Linked DNA regions of Saccharomyces cerevisiae S288C. Changing the gene in region 1 together with any one later gene gives a genetic interaction. Each region holds a gene or a part of one and is shown on either strand. Other genes may lie near its edges. The genes, in order: TIM17, MPT5 and MIX23.

The links.
Region 2: of TIM17 (region 1) and MPT5, extra expression of one rescues a mutant of the other (dosage rescue), as found in Saccharomyces cerevisiae (one study listed by BioGRID).
Region 3: mutations in TIM17 (region 1) and MIX23 impair growth when combined (synthetic growth defect), as found in Saccharomyces cerevisiae (one study listed by BioGRID).

The regions. Positions count from the first base shown.
Region 1 is NC_001142.9:144,053-148,921, reverse strand, and holds TIM17 (protein transporter TIM17), read right to left. Parts: upstream 1,822-4,869; coding exon 1,345-1,821; downstream 1-1,344. Other genes in the region: serine/threonine protein kinase YAK1, read left to right, coding at 1-955; IRC9 (Irc9p), read left to right, coding at 711-1,103; ROQ1 (Roq1p), read right to left, coding at 2,249-2,563; SFH5 (Sfh5p), read right to left, coding at 2,878-3,762; IDS2 (Ids2p), read right to left, coding at 4,221-4,869. UniProt on the Saccharomyces cerevisiae protein: Essential component of the TIM23 complex, a complex that mediates the translocation of transit peptide-containing proteins across the mitochondrial inner membrane.
Region 2 is NC_001139.9:164,711-172,002, reverse strand, and holds MPT5 (Mpt5p), read right to left. Parts: upstream 4,652-7,292; coding exon 4,649-4,651; intron 4,009-4,648; coding exon 1,432-4,008; downstream 1-1,431. Other genes in the region: YGL176C (uncharacterized protein), read left to right, coding at 1-588; serine/threonine protein kinase TOS3, read left to right, coding at 6,912-7,292. UniProt on the Saccharomyces cerevisiae protein: RNA-binding protein involved in post-transcriptional regulation. Negatively regulates expression of HO by binding to the 3'-UTR of HO mRNA. Predominantly binds to mRNAs encoding chromatin modifiers and spindle pole body components.
Region 3 is NC_001134.8:8,331-13,083, reverse strand, and holds MIX23 (Mix23p), read left to right. Parts: upstream 1-2,532; coding exon 2,533-3,123; downstream 3,124-4,753. Other genes in the region: putative Rab GTPase-binding protein SRO77, read left to right, coding at 1-2,237. UniProt on the Saccharomyces cerevisiae protein: Regulator of the mitochondrial protein import machinery that is localized in the mitochondrial intermembrane space (IMS) and facilitates the transport of proteins from the cytosol into the mitochondrial matrix.

The DNA.
Region 1 (4,869 bases):
CAAACTGATTCATTGCGATCTGAAGCCAGAGAATATCTTGCTCTGCGCACCTGATAAGCCGGAATTGAAAATTATTGATTTTGGCTCATCTTGCGAAGAGGCAAGAACCGTTTATACATACATCCAGTCCAGGTTTTATCGTGCTCCTGAAATTATACTGGGTATACCGTATTCAACCAGTATTGACATGTGGTCGTTAGGTTGTATTGTTGCTGAATTATTTTTGGGTATACCGATCTTCCCAGGCGCTTCTGAATATAACCAATTAACAAGAATAATAGACACGCTTGGATATCCTCCATCGTGGATGATAGATATGGGTAAAAACTCTGGAAAATTTATGAAGAAATTGGCACCAGAAGAAAGTTCTTCTTCTACACAAAAGCATCGTATGAAAACTATTGAAGAGTTTTGCAGAGAATACAATATAGTGGAAAAGCCCAGTAAACAATATTTTAAGTGGAGAAAGTTACCAGATATTATTAGAAACTACAGGTATCCTAAAAGCATACAGAACTCCCAAGAACTTATCGACCAAGAAATGCAGAATAGGGAGTGTTTGATCCACTTTTTAGGCGGTGTGCTAAATTTGAACCCGTTAGAAAGATGGACACCACAACAAGCTATGCTACACCCCTTCATAACAAAGCAGGAGTTTACAGGTGAGTGGTTTCCTCCAGGATCGTCTTTACCGGGTCCTTCAGAAAAACATGACGATGCAAAAGGCCAGCAAAGTGAATATGGAAGTGCGAACGACTCTAGTAACAATGCAGGCCACAACTATGTCTATAATCCTAGCTCTGCCACTGGTGGTGCTGATAGCGTCGACATTGGTGCTATCAGTAAAAGGAAGGAGAATACATCTGGCGACATCTCCAATAATTTTGCTGTTACTCATTCTGTTCAAGAAGGGCCAACAAGCGCGTTCAATAAACTTCACATTGTCGAAGAATAAATCGTTATTTTGTCTGACTTTTCTTAACTACCCATTTCATTTTATTACGGCTTGGTGCCATAATGATATACTAAATAAATATGAATTTTGCCTTTTCTTAATTTTCCTTATACGTATAGTCATTACAATTAATAAAGTAACATTATAAAGTTTCTGCACTAGCTTTTGGCTTGTTGATATTTTCTCTTCAGAGATGAAGTATGGTACTTTTTCAATATATAATATGTACATGGTTGAGAGAAATGGTTGGTAATCTTGAAATAAAAGGCTGAAATAAAGTAAAAACGTAAAGGAGGCTAGTGCGATACGTCATTTATGTAACAAAAAACATGCCGAATAAGGGTACTTCCAACAACGATGAAAAAATGGCTCATATAATGTCTACATGCCTAAGCTTGCAGAGGTTGAGAGGAAGGTGCTTCGGGCAAAGGAGGAGCCATAGGTTTGGCTTGCCAAGCAGCATATCTTTGAAACATTAGTCCCACACCTTCAATCACACCCAACAAACAAGCACACGTGATCGAACTGTTCCTTGTATGCCTCCAACCACCTCTTACAGCTAAAGCGCCACCAGTGAAAAACCCTGCAATGATAGCATTCCATGGGTCCTCTCTCTTTCTAACGGCCTTCACAGCGCAATCAAAAGTCGAAAATAAACCACCCCACACACCAAAATTACCACCCAGTACGGGAGCACGCGCTTTAATGGCGCTCATAGCTCCTGAACCACGCTCACCTAATGGCGAATTTCTAAAACCTTTAATCCCATGCCAAACAACACCACCAATGGCACCCATGGCAAAAGCACCACCGAAATCATTTAGTATGACTATAGGACATGGATCTCTCGAATGATCGGCTGACATAACGCTCCCGTGTACTCTATTTTTCTTAACGCTTTCTTCTGAACTTGACTCTTTCACAGCTTTTCCATCTTTTGATGAGAATAGTGCTTTTATCCTCTGGATTTGGCATAAAAATGGAAACTTTGGCGCAAGAATGCCGGGTTACCCACTTTGTTGAACAATAGCAGTAAAAAAGGCGTCCGATGAATGTTCGTTGTATACACCCGAAGATTTCTGTATTCAATGATATATATACATATCTATATGAATATACTATACACTTTATGCACAGAAATTAATGATTTGATAAAGTCCCGCTATCCTTCCGTGGCGCCACTGACAGTGGCATGTTATGAAATGCATATAATCGTTACAACCCCGAACCCGTGCGTGGGCTATTCAGTATAACCCGAATGGTATTGTTAGATATGCTTTATAATGCTGGAGTTCATGAACAACGGCGAGAGTGAACGTCTCCACCCAGACTGCTGCCGTGGCCGTATCGACTGCCGTTTTCATCGTCACCATGATTATTGTTGTTGTTATTATTACTGCTTGTGTTTTCCTGTATGCCTAAATTAGTCAGCTCTACAAAGTAGTATATCACGCCAGGCTGTGTAGGCTGGTTATTGATCCCGAAATCGCCCATGGGAGACTCCTCTACCAAGGAATCCACTCTAGTCTGGTCCCGCTGGCTCCTGAGTATACTACTGTTGCTTTTTTTGTGTGTCCTGTATATTGTTGAAGTTTCCCTCCTTAACATCTTCTTCTTGTTATCTTATCTCTTGTTTTTGCTGACTTTTTTCCCTTGTAAATACCTTTATCTGCGATCTTGTTCACCTTCGGTGCGTTGTCTTTTATATAGGCGGATCTGATCGATCTGTATCCCTATTATTGCCATTACCTTCTAGAAACATTTTCGCAGCCCCTTCGTTTCGTACGGTGTTTTCTGAGCCATATAAGTGAAGATACGTGAGAGATAATACAGTTAGATGGTGATTTACCTGAATATAAGGCAAAAATAAGAAATTATTATAGGGTTTATATAAGAGACTATTATTAGATCATGCCAACAAATCACTCAACGTCCTCGATGATTTGTTTTTGTAAAATGTAAAGGCCGTATTCTGTTGGATGGACATTTGTGACATTTTGCTTGGTCAGATTGTTCTTCTTATCTTTCCCGCCATACCCTTCATATGGGCAATCCTTCAAGTATTGACCCAACTTGCTGCCGTCGGTTAATACCACGAACTTCTTTCTGGTGGTTTCGTCAACGAACTTTTTGATTAAATCGTAAACCCAGCCGAAAACGGTGGGGACATTAACAAAATACTTTGCATATAACAGTTCTGGATAGTATTTTTGAAAGATTCCAATGACCGTCTTGCTACAGTTTTTAATGTCAGAATCCATTCGCCACACGGAGACGCCTTTATAATCGTGGACTTGGGTCATATAGTTGTTGTCGGAGCTGGTGAAATCTAATAAGCTCAAACCCTTTTCCATGAGCCCGATTCTGTAGCGTACAAACTTATCCACATTTTGAAACAATTCTTTTTTTTTGACCAGTTGGCCGTATAAGTTCCAAGTGACAGCCTTTTTATTTGCGTCGCCGTTTGCATCGAATGTCAAAATACCAACGTTTTGCAATTCTGTATTATGGACTTCCTTGTAGGCACAACTCAATGGGTTGAATTCCCTCCTCCAATTCAAAATATCGATCAGGTTCTGTACAATGGTGCTATATTCAAATTGATAGGCTTTGCAAAGTTTGTAGGTTAGACGATCGGCGATTTTTTCGTCATAGTATTTATCAACCTCCTCTTGTGTAAGACCTTCAGGATTCAACTTGTAACCATACAATTCATCGTATCCTGCACATTTTTCCTTGATAATACCAGGAATCGCTTTTTTAAGCTTATCGAAAACCTGCTTCTCACTGTCATTGTCGAATTTCATTTTAAGGATGTTAATTTAGTGAATTAATTACGATTGGGATTCTAAGTAGGAAAAAAAAAAGAGGTACAATTGCAATGTACAGCTCGTTTTTCTTGGTGCGATCACTAATTAGTAAAGCGATGGACATAGTTTTTTTTTTTCATTCCGCCCAATTCTAGCCACACCCGAGAATGTAGAAGTGCTAAAATAACCTTGAACTTTCAGATATAGTGATGATAAAGGAAACCAAAAAAAAAGGAATTAAAAAGAAGGATAATGACTATGTGGTAGTATACAAAAGGAAGTGATTACAAATACGGTGTACCGGCATGTTTCAGCAAAAAAAAATATAATTTTTTGTTATTATAACTGCATTTTAATGAAACACATTATAAGTATGATGGGATTAACTATGAAGAGGGTACCGGACCGCCTTTAATGAATATTGAAGAATTGCGGAAAAGCAGTACTATTCTTATTTAGTTTGCTTGGTTCAAAAAGTCTCGCCAAAGATCTAGCCACTTGTTCATAATAGATTCTCGATGTTGACCGGCAGCAATGTAGTTTTGTCTTTCCCAAGGTTTCAGGATTTTAAATTCGATTATCTTATAATTCAATCTATTCGCTGGCACGCTAGCTATGGGAACAGCACAGTATCCAACGCTATCTATATAACTCCATTTATCGCCAAACAATGCTTTCATAATCTGTAAATCGTTCATTTGATGAAACATCGACCTTTTACTTTCACCTTCAAAATCGTTCCCGTAAATAGTAAAGTATTCCTTAATGCACATTGCTACTGCCCTGTTCGGCTTCAGTATAATAATTTGAGGATCGTCATCATAATTTTCAGCGGAAGATTGGTCTTGGTTCACGCTAACGAGATCTTCATTTATATAATTTACCTTATTCGATAACAATACACAAGTTTCGTTATCAATCTCGTCAGATACTTCAGTGCTCTCTAGAAGCTCATCAATATTTTGCAGTACCAGGCATGTAGGGGATAAATAGCAAATCAATTCGAATCGATCAATTAACGAAAAAAAAAGAAATAGCTTGCACCACTTAAAATTCAATTCGCCCTTGGTTTCGGTCGATTGCGAACTTGCGCTAAATCCCGAG
Region 2 (7,292 bases), on another chromosome or scaffold:
AATTCCCTAAAATCTGTTGTTTCCATAAAAGCATTGAATAATAAAGGCCTAATACTTATATCTGGAATGGCAGACAAAGAGAATGTGCAACAACTGGTTATAGCAGATACGTTCCTGGAGGACATTCTGACCGAAATCCCGGTTGTATCTTTTAAAACTAAGTTCTTAAACGTGACTAAGGATACAGAAATACTCGAGATATCGGATGACGGGCGCTACTTCATTTATGGTTCAACTAGCGCTAGGGACGGAAAGGGTGATTTTGAAGTATTTTGTACCACTTTATCTGGAAATCTTGACTACGAAAAATCCGAAGGTGGAAATATCACCCTCTATCCAATAGGAGGTATGAAGAACTACTGTAGGTTAGAAAACTTCCAGTTTGAATCTATCCACCTACATTCGGCTTTCATACCCCCAAGGTACGTAAATCCGTTTGATGCTGTGGAACCTCTAGGTGAAGAGAGCAGTACTTCACCTTACGATATACCTGAAGAAGCACTTTCTCAAAAAATATGCATCTTAATTCGGAGAGAAGATGATCCCTACAATGGGGCCAATATCTTCATAACATCTGCTTTGACCTAGTTTAGCCCACCGAGATTTTTGCTTTATAAATATTTTAGCATACTTTGCATTCATATACATATTCATATGTATAAATATTCTTTAAATTTTAACGCCGACTTCGAACTAATTAGCAGTCAAAACCCAAATGTAATGACCTTATGGTGTTATAGCATAATTCTTCTTGGTGTACAATTCCATTCTGAATAGTTCAACGATTTTAGATATAGTTAGATATGATATTATAATAAAATATACAAATATGTATCATTGTTAGTACAAGTTAAACCTAAATATAATAAAGCCAACCAAGACAGGAACCAGTAGAAAAATTTATACAAATGACAAAGAAAAACAAACGGTATTTTCCTATTTATTAAAAATGCTTGAGCGAATGGATATTTTAACACATTAGTGTCCTAAAGGACAATTGGATTTGAAAATAAAATGACAGTAATAGACAAAAAGAAAACTGAATGAATGAATGGACGTATGGATTGCTTAATGAATGAATGAATTAAATAATAGTTGGGCGTAAGTTCAGAAGATGAGGAATTTAAAACAAAAATAATCGTTGACAAAAAACGATTCAAAAAAAAATTAGATCATTTTGGTAGGGAGCAATGCTAACCCTGCAAAGGCAGTGGGAGGATTTTGGATACGTGTTCGGAAACAGAATACAAAATATAAAGATGGCAATAGTTTGCTTTACCATTTTTTTCCGGCTCAAATTTTGGGACTTTAGTAGGACGTCATTGCTTAGTTGAATTTTTTATTTTTTATTTTTTATTTTTCTTTTGTCTTTGATTTCTGCGTAAAATATTTGTACAGTAAGAAGGAAAGAAAAAGAAAGAAAAAAAAGTATTATGGCAAAGTGAATTGAAGTTCATCAGATGTTCTAGCGGTATTCATGGCAGGCATATTGGAAATACTAGCGTTGCGGCTCATATTAACTTGATTATATGGGCCTTGACCAATATGCTGCGACTTCATTGACAAACTTGAATCCCAGTTTGCACCTTCCGTTTGATATTGCATACGAGGCACAAAAGATTCATTGAAGTTTTGACTATTTGCATTAGAGTATGGCGAGAAGTGATTAGCATTAATTTTGTCGGTTTCATTCATCATAAATCCAGGCTGCTTAAATCCCCTTGAAACATTAGGATTCACATTGGTAATGTTAGATGATGAGAACGAATGGATTGGTGCAGCAGAATTAGGATGTGCCATTAAATTTGCAAACTGGCGGTTGTCGAAGTTTTGTAACGAGTTATGGCTTACCAATGGTGGGTTAGTTTGAGAATTGAAAGAAGGTGCTCCCATCGAGGGATATGCGTTTTGGTTGAAGTTCATAATTTGTTGCGGAGAGTGAATTTTCTGATCTTGTGCATATTGGTTTGAGAAATTATTGGTTACAGAGCTGTTACTTCTTCTATGGTAAGCATTAGCTGGTAAAGAAAAATGACGGGTATGACTCTTTTGATTATTATTGTTATTATTATTGTGAGCATGGTTATGATTATGATTATGATTATGATTATGACTATTTTTGTTATGGGGGTTCTTATTTTCGTTGTTAATCGTTTGAAGATTGTTATGACTCATTGCAGTGACTTGAGGAGATATGTCAGTGAATGGTATACCTGTGGCTTCTGCATAAGCTTTAACTTTCAACTTAATTTTCTTTGCATAGGATGTAGTTTTAATACTTGGAAGTAATTCTTTTGTAAGGACAATCAAGTTACCAATTTTCAATGAAAAATCGTTACAAAAGTTACCGTAATTCAATGTACTAGAGCTGTTTTGCCCAATTGCGTTACTATTTTTGTTGTAAGCAAGCAGAGGAGAATAATTCTTAACGTCTAATAGCGTTTGTAACGCATAATTACCAAAATTATCCCTGATTAGCACATTTAAATTGACTGTGAATATATCAATGGTAGTCAAAAGAATGTTCATAGAAGCATTAATCACGTCATCAGAAGCAACTGCAGTCCTTTGGGAGGCACCCCCATTGTTATTAACAATAAATCCAGTAATGATTCTAAATAATTTTTTAATGAATTTTTCCACAACATTTGAGGAGAACTTCAAACAAGATAGTTGACATAATTCATTGGATAAACGGTTAAATAACTCAGCCAATAAGTAAAAGTCCAATTCTTTGATATCTAACAGAAATTGGATGATATAATTACCGAACTGATCGTTGATTAATCCAGGAAGGAACTGCACAATTTTCACAGAAATTTTGAAAATTTGTTGTAGAGTACAAACGCTTAGTAATTTTTGTAGTACGCAACAACCATGTTTATGGGTAGAAATGGTAATGATATTATTTTGTTCTACAATAGCATCTATGATGAAACCAAATTTTGATGGCGAGAATTTGAAAATACACTTTTGAATCACATGGTTACCATTAAGATCGTTTATCAAAGTAACCACTTGCTCAATCGAAGTAAATTCTTGGGAAAATCCCTTAATAATGAGATCGATTTGAACTTCGTTATCGACAGTGTCTATAATTTTCTGTAAGGAACGAGTTCCGTACTGATTGATTGATATTTGGAAAACATTTGGATATATTGTTTGTATTAATAATGTCTTTTGCTCGGCAGTTAAATAATCGCATAGTTTTTGAACCAAATAGTTACCGAACGGATCCAAAATAAGGTCCAAGAAAAATGGCTTAATTTGTTCATACATCAAGTCTCTCACCATATTGGATTCACTGGGGGTTTCTAATTTTTTTTGAAGAAAACGGCAGCCAAACTGGTCAGTGGCAAGTTTGATATAATCCAGATCTCTAAGGGGTAGTGCGCTGATTTCGACCATAGATGAAGACGTTGAGCTACTCAAACCAAATGACGAATTATCCACTCCACATTTGGAAGCAGCATTATTACTATTGCTAAAATTTCTGAGAGATGCAGCAGGAGTCACTGAAGAGGATGGTGTTTCCATAATTAAACTGGAGGTATTGACACCAGAGTTCGAAGGAGCAACAACCGTGAAATCGTGGCTTGATTTTCTCCTGGGACCATCCATTTCCAGATCAAACTCATTGATTAATGGTAGAATGGCTGGAGGATTTGCCATTGAGGCTGAAAGCCCAGTGGAGTTGCTAGCAGCATTAGGATTCGGGGAAAAAGAGTTAGCAGAATTCGATGTTGATGTATTATTCATCAAAGCCAAGGGAGATTGTGTCGATGATATGAACTGATTAAAACCAGAGAGATCAAGCGAATGAGCCTTTTGATGGTTTCTTTTGTTATTCATCTGGCCCAAAGGCGGAGGGGTCACGGGCTCCAAGAGTGATTGGACGGAGTTAATAGATAGTTGAGGCTGATGATTGTAAGACATTAAGGAGTTATTTGATGTAGACGTAGTTAAAATCGATGCTGAGTCGGCAGATGGAAATGGTTCGTTATTGATCTGATTGAATAAAAGAATGTTGTGTTAGTAAAGTGAAACCACAAAAATAAGGCGTGTGCAGAGCCGATTTTGGAGTATAAGCCTAGGATCAATTTCGATAACTGAGAAAGAGAACAATCACAACCATGTACAGTGTCCAGGTGGCCTGAGATGCGTGAGAATCAAGAGTAAATCTATCTATAAAGTTCGACTTCAATGGCGACAGAGGATGGCAAAAAAAGAGGACAGGAAAAGAGGAAGACAAAACACAAAATTTATGCTTGATTTTAGAATGAAACCTATAACCATAAAGAGTAAAATCCTTATAACTCTCAACGAATCTGCATAAATTTTTCATAGATCTTCGAATCTTTTCTTTTTTTTTTTTTTTTTGCTCATTTTTGCCTGAGGCGCCTCTTTCCCGAAGCCCTTCTTTCGAGAAAATCCTTATAGGCATATTCGAGAAATAAGGTAGGGTCAAGTATCAGAAATTCCATACGACATAAACGGAGATTGTTAGACCGCTAAAAAAGGCGTGTCGATAGGCTGATCCCACTGAAGCTGGTTTTTGGTTATTATGCTATTTGTTGTTAGAAGATCCCGTTAAAGCTTATGCTCCATTGGCGAAGAAAAATATTGGGAATTAAGAGATAATACATACCATAAGAGAAACTGGAAAAATCGTAATTGATTTATAAATTTGCGTAGAATTCGCTTTACTATGTGTTGGAGAGGAGTTGAGGAGGTTTTTTTTTTTTTTTTTTTGGTTTTTTAGCTTTTATCTTAAGGAATAGTAAAAGTGGCGGTTGTAGTAGCAGGCTTTTGCTGATCCGTAGTCCAAATCTAGTAATTTCAAGGCGCTTGACTTCTTGATGTTATTACCTTTCTTTTATTACTTAACTTGCCAATCAATGATGTGTCAATGATCTTCTCGGGGCTAGCAGATCTGTTCTTTTTTACCTGTTCTCTTTTTGTGTGAAAAGATAAAGTAAATTATGAAATAGGCTGATCTTGATGTTGACTCAACAGTACCCAAGGTTTTGAAATGTGAATTGTGTTCAGTATATTCAATGTTTCAGATATATATTGAAAGGAAACCACCTATTATGCTTTTTAGGCCTCTATGTAAGAAAATCTATACGTTTAACACAGATGCGAACCAGGAAAGAAGAAGAGTTCTTGTAGGCCACGTTTAAGAATGGCAAGAGAGAAAAAAAGAATGATCACAAGAAAACTGATTTCAGAATTGTAATATCGGACGGCAATACTAGTGTAATCTGAACCACAAGGTTAGTCTTAGCTGGGTAAAACACCTGGCGAAAGAAGAAAAAAAATAAGGAATCTGGATGATTATAAACTTTTTTAAATTACCCTTCTTTTATACATGAAAAGGGCATACAGCATACATAAACGGTAAAGAAAAAGAGGCAATCGTCAGTATTAATTGGCTCTAAGCTAGTCCAGGAAATAACCGCGTATAAATCCAAACCGTACTTCAGAACATTCAGATCTTTCTAGCTACTTGAAAGCGCGTACCATTTCCCCAACCTTAATATGTATATTTTATCACTCACTATGCAGTACTAGGCCGCTTCTTTCTATTGCTTTTCAGATTGCCAGATGCAATATATCCCGCTTCGGAATTATTAAAAATTTAGGGGTTGGCCAGATGTTTAGAACCTCGCTTTCCAGTTAATTGCTTTAGGAAAAGAAAGGCCAATATTGTTGTCATTTTTGTATTTTTTGCGCGGTACTGACCTTTTACTGCGGCGTTTCGCGTTTTTTTGGCATTTCGCGTTTCAGTGCGGCCCCCCCTCCCCAAAAAAATGGCGTATATTTTTAGTTAGTTTCTTCATCGTTCGATGCCTAAGCCGAGAATTTCAGAAGGCTTCTAAGGGCCAGAGTAAAGAGATCCATTGAGCCCCCACCCAGTTGGCAGCGGATGCCGAAGGGCGGAAGGAAGGGGCGTGTATAGGCTTCTTTACGAGAGCAAAAGACATTACAACGTACAAGGGACATTCCGTTCCCTTGTACGTCATGTTAATGAGCAAGAAACCGCTCACCGGCAATGGTTGGTGGTAGTGGTAGTATGGACTCTTTGGGTGATGAAAAGTAATCAGAACATTCTGCAATTTCTTTACATTTCCAATACTTGCTCCATTTAATCCTTTCCTTAGGTGGCGATAGCCCACGCGAAAGACGACCTAGGGTCAGGAGATTATCAATGCACTTGAGGCTTTAACTACTATGGCTTAAGAAGGGTAGCTACTTTATTTTTGTGCTTTTAAGAAATGTAATCATTAATTAAGTAATTAGGAGGTCAAGACGAAAACCATAAATAGATTGTGTAGAAGGGGCCGTACATTTTGTTTCTTATGCAATGTGGTAGTTTCGTTTACCGCCCTCGCCGGTCCATCACAGCATTTTGGAGTTCCTTTCTAAGGTCCATCGGAGCACCTTTATTTTTTTTGCGCTTCGGATAAATTGCATTTGGTTGATAACTTCCATCTCCACCCGTCCCCTCGCACCGGACCTTTTAAAGATCCCTTTGTATATAATAAACCAACGGGTCCTATAAAGACTACCGCTGATATCTTCGGTTTGCACAACGTCCTTCAGCAAGCAAAATATGGCTGTTTTTATTCTCTGTATGTCCTCATTGATGAGGACTCGCAACAATCTTGGCTATTTTTTTCGTTGAGCATACCCGGTCCCTGAATCTTTTGTGCGGGTATTATACGAAGAGCGGGTGTGCCTTACTTATCCGCGCGGTATATAAAGCCATACATTGTTAGGACAGGTGTCCCCAATAAGAAACACTACTTGTAAGTGGTATATAATGCTCGAGCCTCTAGTGACTCGTACTCTACGCCTTGAAATTGCTGCGCACATATTCTGCATATAAAAAGGAAGCTTTGAAGAATATGGTACTACTTAAAGAACCTGTTCAGCCGCTGCCTCGATCATCTCTGTTATATAATAATGCGAGCAATAGTAGTAGTCGTATAAAAGAGACAAGAAAAGTCAAACTATTATATAATCCCTTAACTAAGAGACAAATCCTTAACAACTTTGAAATTTTAGCCACTTTGGGTAATGGACAGTACGGCAAAGTGAAATTAGCAAGAGATCTCGGGACAGGTGCGTTGGTTGCAATAAAAATTCTTAATAGATTCGAAAAAAGAAGCGGGTATTCTCTTCAATTGAAAGTAGAAAATCCAAGGGTTAATCAAGAAATTGAAGTAATGAAAAGATGTCATCATGAAAACGTTGTGGAATTGTATGAAATTTTGAATGACCCTGAG
Region 3 (4,753 bases), on another chromosome or scaffold:
TCAATAGCGGTAAACTGATTCACGCTAGAAGTATATTTGAAACACATGTGAATTTTCCAAATCCTGCCTTGAAAGACTGTTCCTTTACAGAAACACCCGCTATCTTTAAAGTAAGCTGGCTTTGCCAGCGTAATCCTGAGTATACATCGTTGTTGATTGCAACAAAAGCTACAGAAAATCCCTGTTTACCTCAGGAAATAACCATGATTGACTTAGGCGGCACACCAATGTATTCTGTGACATCATTTGACGCAATGAGCAAGTACTATGCTAAACCGGTTCAACAAAAACTATTTTCGTTGATTGGCAAAGCTCCACTAATAAATTTTCTACCCTTGCCGAAGGCTTCTCCATATTTTGGTGGATGCCATGACACAAACCTCATTTTATTACTTTTAGAAGATGGCGAACTTGAAACATTGATATACCCAGCAGGCTCTTTTAGTTCCAAGGCCTCCATTTTCCCTCGGAGCTTAGCATGGGTTCGACCAACGGTTACTACTTGTATAGCGCAATCAGTTCAAAAAAATCTTTGGCTGGGGATGATGACAATCGCTCAAAGTGAATCGTTTTTAAAAGGTGGTATTCCTGCCACCAGAAATATTAGAAGGCATGAGACCAGATCTGCTTTACTAACTGGGCATAGTAATGGTTCAGTCAGAATATGGGATGCTTCACACAGTGAAGTAACTGACAACGCTGTATTTGAAGTGAATACTGCTAAAGTACTTAACAGAGCTACTAACCTGGCCATAAAAAATATCTCCTTTGCATCGGAAACATTGGAATTGGCGGTATCATCTGAGGTTGGGGATGTTATTCTTTTCAAATTCGAAACAAACAAGTTTTACGGACAACTTCCCAAAAGCGATGCACTGCAATTGAAGTTTAGCAGATTTTCATTGGATGATTCAAAAACTATTTTAGTTGATGTTTCGGATAGAGGGCCTACGAACGTTAAACAAGGCTTTATACCAAGTACGGTAATACATGCTAAAAAAGGTGCGGTGTCCGCAATCATGAATAGTAATATCGGGTTCGTTGCCGTTGGTTTCATTGAAGGAACCTTAATAATATTGGACAGAAGAGGCCCGGCTATAATCTTCAATGAAAATATTAGGGTCATTTCTAAAGCTGGTAGCTCTTACGTTTCAACCGTTCACTTTTGCGTCATGGAATATGGAGATGATGGGTTCTCTAGTATTTTGATGCTATGTGGAACGGATATCGGGGAATTGATGACTTTCAAAATACTGCCTGCAACTAATGGAAGATTTGAGGTTAAATTCACTGATGCAACAAAGACCAACAATCAAGGAAAAATTCTAGGAATAAATTCTTTTGCCAAAGATACTGGCTACAGTTGTTCTGCTACTATATCAAAGATGCAGGGTTTAAGCAAGGGTATCGCAATACCTGGATTTGTTACTATCAGTGGCGCAAATGACATTCGTTTAGTATCACCAGGTAAATCTAAGGACACTCATGCGCTTTTCAAGTATCCAATTGCCACTAGTGGATTATCATTTATTCCCATTATTGACGGTAAAGGAGAAAGAAAGCTTTCAACTATTATGATCGTTTTGCTAATTAATGGAGATATTAAAGTTTTGACAGTACCTGAGCTTAAGGAAGTCAAAAATCTACGCTGCCCGGTCCCTCTAAGCGCTCAATACGTTGAAAATTCATCTATATTAGAAAATGGTGACATTGTCATTCGCACAGGGAAATTCCAAGCCTCTTTGATTTCAGTACTTAATGAAAGTGCCACCGGAACGAATCATACTGCTGACATATCACAACATACTCCTATTGATACCTTGTACAATCCTGATTTAAAGATTGGTTATAGGCCTCAAGTGAATTCCTTACAATGGGCTAGAGGAACTATTTATTGCACACCATATCAACTTGATGAGCTACTGGGCGGTATAGAAAGGCCCGAATCGAAGTATGAGGAAAGCGCAATTGCTCGAGGATGCATATCTTCCAGTAGTAGTAATGCAGCCAGAAAGTTACCTCCCGGTACGGAAGATCACAGGTATGCCAGACCTGTAAGAAGCTCTGGAAGAAGTAATGGATATGGTGTCCTTAAAAGTGTTTCTAGGGCAATTGAAACTCGTTTAGACACGGTAGAAACCACTATTAATGACTATGCAACCACAATGGGACAAACCATGAATGACGCAATGGAAGAAACGGGAAGGGATATGATGAAGAGCGCTGTAGGTTTTTAGTCCATAAATAGTTTTTATAAAATTCGATCAGGTTGCCCTTGCTCGCATAAGAATTTTATCAGGCTCTAGACTCTAAGATAGGAGGCTTGAAGCGATTTTGTTGTTGATAAGTGAAGTTTTACACTATTCCATATTGTAGTTTACTTTTGCTTGTTACCCAGAATCGCCTATATATTCACTTTTGAACGTGACGGTAATTTTGTCCGCCAAGTTAAATATCCTTTGGGTAGTTTGAAAAACTTGGATATAGTTAGAAAAAAAACTTCTCATTTATACACGTAGACAAAAAGACGGTATGGTTGATAATAGGCGTACGTTTACGGCACCCCAAAGCTTACTTGAAACAAATCTTACTTTTCCGAATGATGAACCGTCACTTACTACAATCACAGTTACGCGAGAAAGATGTGTTGATCCAAGCTTGATAGATTCATTTTTGAGGTTTCTAAGGCATGGAAGTGATGATATAATAAGACAAAAATTAAACAACTATAGGAAAGGCTCTATTAATGGAAAAAATAAGTGTAAGGAATTTTTGAAGCAAGAACTATATCCGAACTGGCAAATACGGAATAATATAATTTCATTTTGCGAAAAAGAGGCAGCAGAGATGAAGAACGAGACCGATCAGCAGTGCGGTAATAATAAAAAGACTACTGCGGAACCACTTATAGACGCAAGAATTGATCCTTACGCTGCAAGAGAAAGAGCGGAGAAACAGGAAGCTCAATATAAGGATTGGACGAAGGTGACAGAGTGGGTGGCAAATAATAGAAAAATAGAACAAATTTTAACTTCTACAACAGAGGGCATTTTAAGGCAAAACTGCGAGCAAAATAATGACTACTTGAAGGAGTTTACGCAATTCTGCAAGGACAACAGTTGAACGCCCTATTCTTCTAGTCCGCTGAAAGATTATATCACTTAAAGATTCTTGTACATAGGAAGTATACTTATTATCGCCTTTCGTTTATCTGTATTTGTTAAAAAATATGCTCCAACTTGTGTAGTGAAAGAGATTTTTTTGCTAAAACCATTATTGCTGGATGCAAAGGACGCCATGAAGAAAAACTTACTTAGTGAGCCGCTTTTTGGCTTATTAATAATTCTTCTTCTCAAACTGCAATTGCATTTCCCTATTATTCTAGTTAATAGTACGTTAAATCATCAAAAAAAATACTGAAGGATGCGAGGTTCGAACTCGCGCGGACAACCGTCCAACAGATCTTAAGTCTGCCGCCTTAGACCACTCGGCCAACCCTCCACGAATTTTCTAAACCTTTCCGGTAACCAGTTAAATACCCTATTTTACCCGAATCCTCAGAGTCTGTGAATAATTTAATAATCTTTGAGATTCCATTGTTGGTAAGGGTTATACTGTTATGTATACAATTTACTAGAAGCTCTCGTCGATGGTATTGGTGTAGAGAATGTGGATTTTGATGTAATTGTTGGGATTCCATTGTGATTAAGGCTATAATATTAGGTATGTAGATATACTAGAAGTTCTCCTCCAGGATTTAGGAATCCATAAAAGGGAATCTGCAATTCTACACAATTCTATAAATATTATTATCATCGTTTTATATGTTAATATTCATTGATCCTATTACATTATCAATCCTTGCGTTTCAGCTTCCACTAATTTAGATGACTATTTCTCATCATTTGCGTCATCTTCTAACACCGTATATGATAATATACTAGTAACGTAAATACTAGTTAGTAGATGATAGTTGATTTTTATTCCAACAATTGGAATCCTCAAAATGGAATCGGTATTTCCACATAATAGTATTACTACTTTTTTTTTTTTTTTTTTTTCATTTATACTTTGTCATTCAGTATCCTGTTACATTATCAATCCTTGCATTCCAGCTTCCATTATATTTGAAGACTGTTTGTCGATCTTTATGTCATCTTCTTTTTCGGCATGTGATAATATACTGGTAACTGGAATACTACTAAAGGAATGATATTTTAGAGTTTCATCCCAACAATTGAAGAGACGTGACTAATGCTATGTTAAAAAATATGTGGCAGCTAATAACATCATACCATCCTATCATAATATTGTTATCTGTCGTTGCAAACTGCAGATGTGTTTGAAAATGACTTTTAAGTATGTGCCCTCGTTGCCTTTTGAGCGTAAAAAAAGTCACTTACTCCTGCAGAGGGGTTAACTACGCTATAGACGGGCCTTGACACATTTCATAAACACATATTTTCACATGTCAGGAATTTTCTTAACTATGCACTTTTGACGCCTTGCGTATGTTTATTCTATTTACAGCTTTGATGATGCGTACAAGTCTCTAGAATCTAACAATATACGACTCCCTGCACATGGTTGCTATTTTTTATTCAACCTTCAGGAATGAGTAACAAAGATGTTGCTTTGCATGGAAACCGTTTAGGACACACCAAATGATGGCTTAGACAGTAAGCTTCTGAACGAGGGTCCAAATCTAAAATTCGGATATTCTTTTTGACTGAAAACGGAAACTTAACAGGCG